2 linked regions of the Sus scrofa genome follow. The protein of the gene in region 2 purifies or fractionates together with the protein of the main gene of each other region. This does not show direct contact. Links are inferred from orthologs where the notes say so. Each region holds a gene or a part of one and is shown on either strand. Other genes may lie near its edges.

Evidence for each region.
Region 1: the proteins of DBF4B (region 2) and CDC7 purify together in Homo sapiens (affinity purification with mass spectrometry; 3 studies listed by BioGRID and IntAct, counting the BioPlex papers as one, with this or other methods). This does not show direct contact. The link is inferred for Sus scrofa from reciprocal best matches to the Homo sapiens genes DBF4B and CDC7.

Annotation. Positions count from the first base shown.
Region 1 is NC_010446.5:125,438,843-125,442,651, forward strand, and holds part of CDC7 (cell division cycle 7-related protein kinase), read right to left. Parts: coding exon 3,711-3,809; intron 2,696-3,710; coding exon 2,613-2,695; intron 412-2,612; coding exon 262-411; coding exon of another isoform or gene 191-261; exon of another isoform or gene 1-190. UniProt on the Homo sapiens protein: Kinase involved in initiation of DNA replication. Phosphorylates critical substrates that regulate the G1/S phase transition and initiation of DNA replication, such as MCM proteins and CLASPIN.
Region 2 is NC_010454.4:18,619,541-18,623,349, reverse strand, and holds part of DBF4B (protein DBF4 homolog B), read left to right. Parts: intron 1-869; coding exon 870-1,055; intron 1,056-1,856; coding exon 1,857-1,907; intron 1,908-2,842; coding exon 2,843-2,906; intron 2,907-3,809. UniProt on the Homo sapiens protein: Regulatory subunit for CDC7 which activates its kinase activity thereby playing a central role in DNA replication and cell proliferation. Required for progression of S and M phases.

The sequences.
Region 1 (3,809 bases), on a different chromosome or scaffold from region 2:
GATTATAAAGCTGAGCTTTAAACAACAGAGAAGCACAGTACTTTGCGCTTGCTAAGGTGAAAGGATCGCACCTACAGAAGGGAAGGGATAAATTACTTTCTTACACAATGCCGTTAATTTTCAAACAACTAAGAAACTTTCCAACATCAGAAAACTTTACGAACGCAGATGTTTATTTGTCAAGAGAATTTCACAATTTAAGTGATGTATAGGAGATATGCAAAAGGTATTTGTTTTGTTCTATAATGTAAAACTGCTTACCAAAAGTTTTAGCAGCCTGGATAGTTTCCCTGGATCCACGAATGGTCATAATTTGAGCCAGAGCAGTTAAATCATCACTTGCTTTATAAAATGGATACCGTCCACTAAGCAGAGAGAGGAATATGACACCTGCAGACCACATGTCAATTGCTGTAACAGAAAATCAGCTTTGAGAAAAATCCCCAACCCATAATTTTACTTCTGTATCAACAGTTCGCAACCTTTACTGTATCTTCAACCACCTTAAGAGCCTTAAAAATATTCTGATGCCCAATCCCCTCAAGAGGTTCTGATTCAACTGTTCTGGAGTAGTGCTTAAGCATCAGGGTTTTTTTTTTTTGTTTGTTTTTTTAATAGTTATTTCCCCAATACAATTTTTTTTCCTTACTGTACAGCATCAGTTTTTTTTTTTAAAAAGTTCCTCAGGTGCTTTTAATGTAATTTGTCTAACATCCTTAATACAAAATACACAGTCTTCTTTCTCGAGCAACGTGCTGGTCTGTTTAAAAGGGTGTTTCGTCACGCAGTAAATGCACATTTTATAACATCAAAACAAATCCAAAGTGGCTGTGTAGGAGAAGAGTCTGGATGCTGCTCAGGATCTACACACCACAGCAGTGAACGCGTTGCCCCGCAGTGCAACGTATGAACATCAGAGGCTTGCCTTCAGCCAGGTGCCAACCAACCCCACCTCTGCTGTGACAACGTCCGTCTCCAGAGTCCTGCCGGTTAGGACCAGCTCAGCCTCCCGTGAAGAAGCTCATTAAAGGAAACAAACAGCTTGGGGAAGCTCGTCTTCTGTCCTAACTGCTGAACTCCCTGCATCACCAGGTTACCTGCTCCACTCCCTTGGCCGCTGCCGCACACCTGCCGTTCCTGGCTCCCTGCGTACCTCTGCCCGCGCCTGCAGTGTTTCCTCCAAGCCTCAGGGGCTGAGGTGCCCCCAGAGTTCCAACGCCTCCCCTGTGGACTCTGCTGGACCGGCCCGTCCACAGCTTCCACTACCCCTCGCGTGGTAAGGAAGACACTCGGTGCCACCGGCGGCCCAGACGTCCCCGCGCTCCAGACGCACTATCACCCCGCTGGGCATCTCTGTCTGGATGTTCCACACGCTCTCAAACCAGCGATGCCCCCGTCCCCTTTTTCCTTCCCTGTACACCGGCTACTTCTTTTTTCTCCACGCCGGTTGCCCCTTAAAGGTCCCCAAGCTAGGAATCTGGTAAACATTCTGGAGGCCTTTTCTCTGCCACCCAAATCCCACATCCAGTTATCCGCCAAGCTCTGCCTGTCCCGTCTTCACTTCGGTTCACTCCTCCCGCTCCCGCCGCGTCCGGGCCTCCATCGTCTCCCCGGGGCCGAGCCCTCTCTGCACACCTGCCGAAGGACCCTCCAGAAGACCGTCAGCTCCGGCGCTCTCCCCCTTTCCCGAACCTGCAGGATGTGGTCCGAGCCACACGACACCCGAACCCTGACCTTCGCCACCTCTCTCCCCGTTCATGTGTCACCACTCTGACTTCCCACACAGTCTGGCAACACGAAGCTTGGACGGCTTCCCGCGTGACCGCGCTATCTTGGGTTCCCCTGCTCGTGTGACCCTCCTGTTCTAATCTACATTCTCTTCCCAGGCGTTCCCTCTCCCGTGAGCTTCCTTCCATGACCCCTCAGATGAGAGGAGTCAGAGACCCTAAAACACTCTGCATACTGAACAGACTGCTTCATAATCACCGGAGCGAGTGTCTGACTACAGCGAAAGCAGATCCTTTTCTGTCACCCGCAAAGCACAGAAGGAGCATCTGCCAAACGAATCCACTTCCGTCAAGTCCATAACCCACGTGAAGACGCAACGCCTCAAGAAGGTGTCCTCTGGGATCCTGATCCGTGACGACTCTTTCCGGTTAGAGTTTTTTCTCTTTTGCAAATCTCCGCAATGCTATCACACTGTCTTCACAACCAAAAAATTTTAATCAAACACACAATCATATGCGTACCACAGAAGACGTCTGAGGTACGAGGCAAACATAAGACGTTGCAAGACTGAAGCTGGCCAAGACTGCTAAGCCCAAGTCCCCACAAAGGTGATGTTAGAATTATTCCTGATAAAATCACCTTGTAGAAAGATAAGCAAAACCTAATCTACAGAGGAAAAAAAAAACAACCCAAAGCAACACTCGGGTTAGAAGCTTTCATACACAGCACCAGGTCAAAAACGGGACTACGCTGAAGTGCCAGGATCACCTCCAGACCTTAGGGAGAAGCAGGACAGCTCCGACTTAGTCCTAACTAGACAGCAATCCTAAGATACACCCGTGGAAACCAGCTGAACTGGGTTCTGTGTTTCCAACGTGACCTACCTGTGGTCTGATTGGGGCACTTGGTCAAGACCTCTGGTGCTCTGAAGCCTGGTGTACCTGCCCGAGGTGCCACCTGCTGCCGCCTAATGATGATGAAAGGAGATGTTTCTAGTTACGTTAAAGTTTAATTACGTAAGAACAAAAAATAACACTTAACCCATTTACTTCACAGTCAAGTAGTATCTATGCAAATAAAAGTTACTAGAAGGCAAATGATAATCCAGTGTGATGGAAATCCTAGATTTTGCTTCTATGGGTCCCTTCCCCTCCCACTAGTTCCCAGGTCTTGCTCCAGACAGGTTTTAAGGTAACATCCAGGCATAAGAAGAGGTAGTAGATGATGACAGCCAAAACAGAAAAACAGAACACATCAGGAACGCTGAGGTATAAAAACCTATTTCTGGAGTTCCCATTGTGGCACAGCGAAAATGAATCCGACTAGGAACCACGAGGTTGTGGGTCTGACCCCGGCCTTGCTCAGTGGGTTAAGGATCCGGTGTTGACATGAGCTATGGTGTAGGTCACACACAGACGTGGCTCGGATCTGGTACTGCTGTGGTGTAGGCCGGCAGCAACAGCTCGGATTCGACCCCTAGCCTGGGAACCTCCATATGCCGCGGGTGAGGCCCTTAAAAGGACCAAAAAAAAAATGTATTTCCATTTTGAGGAATTACTTACTGAGCTATCTGTTCACATATGTACTAGAGTTAATCAGAAAAGCTCATGAAAGCTTAAGAAAGTCTTGAAGGGAAGAAAAGAATTTATGTGGCAAAGAACTGGAGGTGGGAGTGTGAGAAAGGTTCTATTATTTGGTTCAGGTTATTCTACGTCGCCAGGAATAAAGAAAACAAGATGACATCACCAAGTAAAAGAGGCCACTCTCAAGTTTCTGAAGAGCTCTTCCTACTTGCATGCAAAGGCAAACGTGCTCTCCCGAGCATGTGTGTCAAGGGTTGTCACCTGCACGTCCAGGTACCGCGCTGCACCAGGGCCCTCGGTTCTCAGAACTGCACTGTTCCCTTTTACTCACTCAAATCAACCGCCCACCAGAATCAGCAGGCTCATCGGGCAGCGTGCAGCACCATCAAAACATATTACCTTGAAAGGCAAATACTGCAAACTTTATCTGTTGCATAACAGTCACAGGTCAGGCTGGCTGGGCAAGAACTGGCAGTTTTCCTCATCACACCACTATTC
Region 2 (3,809 bases):
TTTTTTTTTTTTTAAACCTAAGTGCCAGGTTTCCCATCTCGTCTCACTTCGGAGATGCCATCCATGCTCTCACAGCTGTGCCAGAACTGGCTGGGACAGGCTCGTGAGAATCAATTGTTAGCATCTCTCTCCAGTTCCACATTGAGTGACGTCCTATTATGACTAGCTTGACATCAGCCACAGTAGTATTTTACCCCACAGAAATCAGCAAGTGCTATAAAGCAGGTCCCCCCGCTCCCCAGAGAGTCAGGCCTTAAGAGGTTGCCGGCTCATTACTGCATGTTGCCATCTTTCCTCCCTCCCCCAGTCTTGAGCTGTGTCACTGTGTTTCAGGCTCCGTGTTGGGGTCTTGGGATGCAAGGTGAGTCAGACCCTCTCAGTGCCATGAAGGGCTTCCAGGTAGGATGAGCAGACACTCGTGCAGCTGAGTCACAGCCGAAACTCGTTTTTTGTCTCAGGCTCCTTCTGGTAACGTGGTCAAGGTTACAGAGGCAGCCTCTGGATGTCCCAGTGTATCTTCACAGCAAAATCAGGACGTAACCAATAAGACATTAATCTTCTCTGGTCTCTTCATCGTGCTCGTGTTCCGTGCACACTCCAACGAGTCAGATCCTCAGAGCCACTGGGCTTCCGCTGCTGGATCAGGCGGAGCCGCGGTTCTGGAGTGAGAACCTGTGTTGTATAGATAGGCCCTATTGTGTTCCAAGAGGATGTCTTCTCGGAGGCCTGGCACAGAACTGCATTTGGTCTATTTAAAGACATTGATTCTGGAACTTCTGGCAGCCCAGATGTCTTTCCCTCGACCTCTCGATATTGATAATTCTACTTCTGCCTTTCGGGTTTCAGCCACCTCTGTGATCTGGTTTCAGGTAATTGAGGGTTTCCTGAGCAAAGAAGTAAGTTACATCGTGTCCAGCCGCAGGGAGGCGAAGGCAGAGAGTGGAGGGACGAGTCACAGAGGCTGCCCCAGCCCCGGCGAGGTCAGAGTGGAGACACCGTCCGTGGCCAACCCGAAAGACAGCCATGCCAGGCCTGCCCAGAAACCCGTGGAGTCGGTAAGAACCTCTCAGGGCGCAAAAGGTGTGCCCTCCAAACGAGGGAAGTATGCCTCAGTGACCCCTTTTAGGCAGTTTCTGGTTTATTTTCATCTGGTTTATTTTCATCTCTCATTTGAATTCAGGGCCCAAAACTGTCTTATCATAGCTCTGGAGGCAGGCACCTCAGCGTCATGCTGTGCCCTCCCTTCTGTGATAAATGTCCACTTTTTGTTTGTTTGTTTTTTGATTTTTTTTTTTTTTTTTTGGCTGCCCTGTGGCATAGGGAGTTCCTGGGCCAGGGATCCAATCCAAGCCGCATTTATAACGGCTCACAGCTGGAACAATTCCAGATCTTTAACTCACTGTGCTGGGCTGGGGATCGAACCTGCGTCCCAGCATTCCCAAGACGTCGCAGGTCCCACTGAGCCACAGCAGGAACTCCAGTGTTCATTTTTTATGGGACCTCAGAGCCTGAGGTTCAAAAACAGTAGGAAGGTCCTCTCTAAACCAGAGAGGGCTTGTTGCAAGTGTCCAAGGCTTGTCTGCCCCGGGGTTCGGGCTCTTACAGAGAGGTCTCAGGACATTTGTAACCCTTGACCTTGGGGGGCCAGGACCCAGGCCACCTGGCTGCAGCTCCCTGGGGCTTTCCCTTTACCTCTGAAAGGCTCTCCGGGCTCTCCCATCCACTGCTTCTCAGCCGTTACTGCTCCTGGCTTTATGAGGGCCCTGACTTCCAGGCGTCCTGGCAGCCCCTGTGGACACATCTGTGTGTGCGCAGGGGCGCTCCACAGCTCCCCTCACTGCTCCCTCTTCCGTCAGGTGCCTCTGAGCAGAGGGAAGGAGCTCCTGCAAAAGGCCATCCGAAACCAGGTGAGCTGAGGGAGACGGGCTGGAGGTTCAGGGAGGGAGTCAGCCTGGCCTCCCGAGCTTCTTCAGAAGTTCTCACACAGAAGGCACGTGCTCTAAGACCTGGAGCGTTGTCATGACTCCTCCTTACACACAAGGAGGCGGGGCTCAGAGAAGTTAAGTAATCTGTCCAGCATGGAGGTGATTTGACCCCATCATCTCTCCAACTCCTGAGCCTCCCAAGGGAACCTTGGAGCAAAGCTGTGGGGTGTGTCAGACTTTGTACGTCTTTCACAGATAGCTGTTTTTTTTGCGGGGCGCAGGGGGGTGAGAGCATACCCACGGCATATGGAAGTTCTCAGGCTAGGGGTCGAATCGGAACTACAGCTGCTGGCCGACACCACAGCCACGCCGATGGGAACTCCTCACAAGTAGCTCTTCATCCCCTTTGTGAGAATCCAAGGCATTACAGTTACGTGACAGGAGGACGAGTTGAGATGATCTGGCGGGAGGAGTCGTTAAAGTGACATCAAGTAAAAAATAAATTAATTTTTTTAAAAAGTGACATCAAGTGGGTGCCTTGGCTGTGCCGAGGGAGGGCGGTGTTGCCAGCGGGAGAGGTCAGCAGGTGTTTACTGTGTCCTGCCTGTGGGCTGAGAGCTTGCCTCACAGGGCCTCTCCCGACACCCGCTCTCGTCCAAGTACAGGCCTCTTCTCGCTCACCAGCTAGAGGTCCGCAGTCCGTCCCCGCCCGATGTGGCCAGCCCTTGCGGAGGACAGGGTCTTCCCCAGGGGGTTGGGTTGACTCTCCAGACCCTCTGCTCTCTCCCCTGTCTGCCTCCCTGCAACTACCCCCCTCGTGGATGACCCCGAGCTCCCAGAAGCGGGGCCAGCCTGCCCCATCGTGGTCAGACCTTGGGGAGTCACATGCTCCTGCCTGACTTTGCTTGTCTTTCCAGGGGAGCAGCAGCAGCCTCCTGAGCAACGCCCGCTCCTGGGGAGTGCGGATTCTACACGTGGACGGTACCCTTCCTGCCGGGGGGCTTCTGCGGAGGGGACTGTTGGTGACAGACTGGGAGCCTCAGCTGTGAGAGGGATCATAGCTGTGTTCTAGCTGGAGCCAGATGTGCTCAGTTAGTGTGATGCTCCCAGGCAGGCGGTATAGAGACCAGCAGTGGCAATAGAGCACGGGTACTGGCAGGTGCTGCTTTGTTTAACCCACACGGCAGTTCCCCTGGCTGGTGTGATGATCCTGTTTTACAAATAAGAAAATAATCCTAAGAGTTCCCACTGTGGCATGTGGGTTAAGAATCTGACTGCAGTGGCTCAGGTCACTATGGAGATGCGAGTTTGATCCCCGGCCCAGCCCCCGCAGTGACTTAAAGGCTCTGGCATTGGCTGCAGTGTAGGTTGCAGCTGCTGCTTGGATTCAGTCCCTGGCCTGGGAACTTCCATATGCTGTGGGTGTGGCCGTCTAAAAGGGGGAAAAAAAAGAAAGAAAGAAGAAAAAAGAAAATAATCCTATGTCCATGACCCCTTGTCAGGTATTTACTCTCCTCTAGGAATCACTTCATTTAATCCTCACTGCAGTCTTCTGCCCATTGTACAGATAAGGAAATTGAGCTCAGAGACCGGATTGAGTACATTATCCATAGTGAGTAGTGTGGCTACATTCCCACCCAGTTTGGCTGGATTGAACTTTTTTTTTTTTTTTTTTTTTTTTTGGTCTTTTTCTACGGTCTCATCTGCGGGATATGGAGGTTCCCAGGCTAGGGGTCAAATCGGAGCTGTAGCCACTGGCCTACACCAGAGCCACAGCAACATGGGCTCTGAGCCACATCTGTGACCTACGCCACAGCTCAGGGCAACGCCAGATCTTCAACCCACTGGGTGAGGCCACGGATCAAACCCGAAACCTCATGGTTC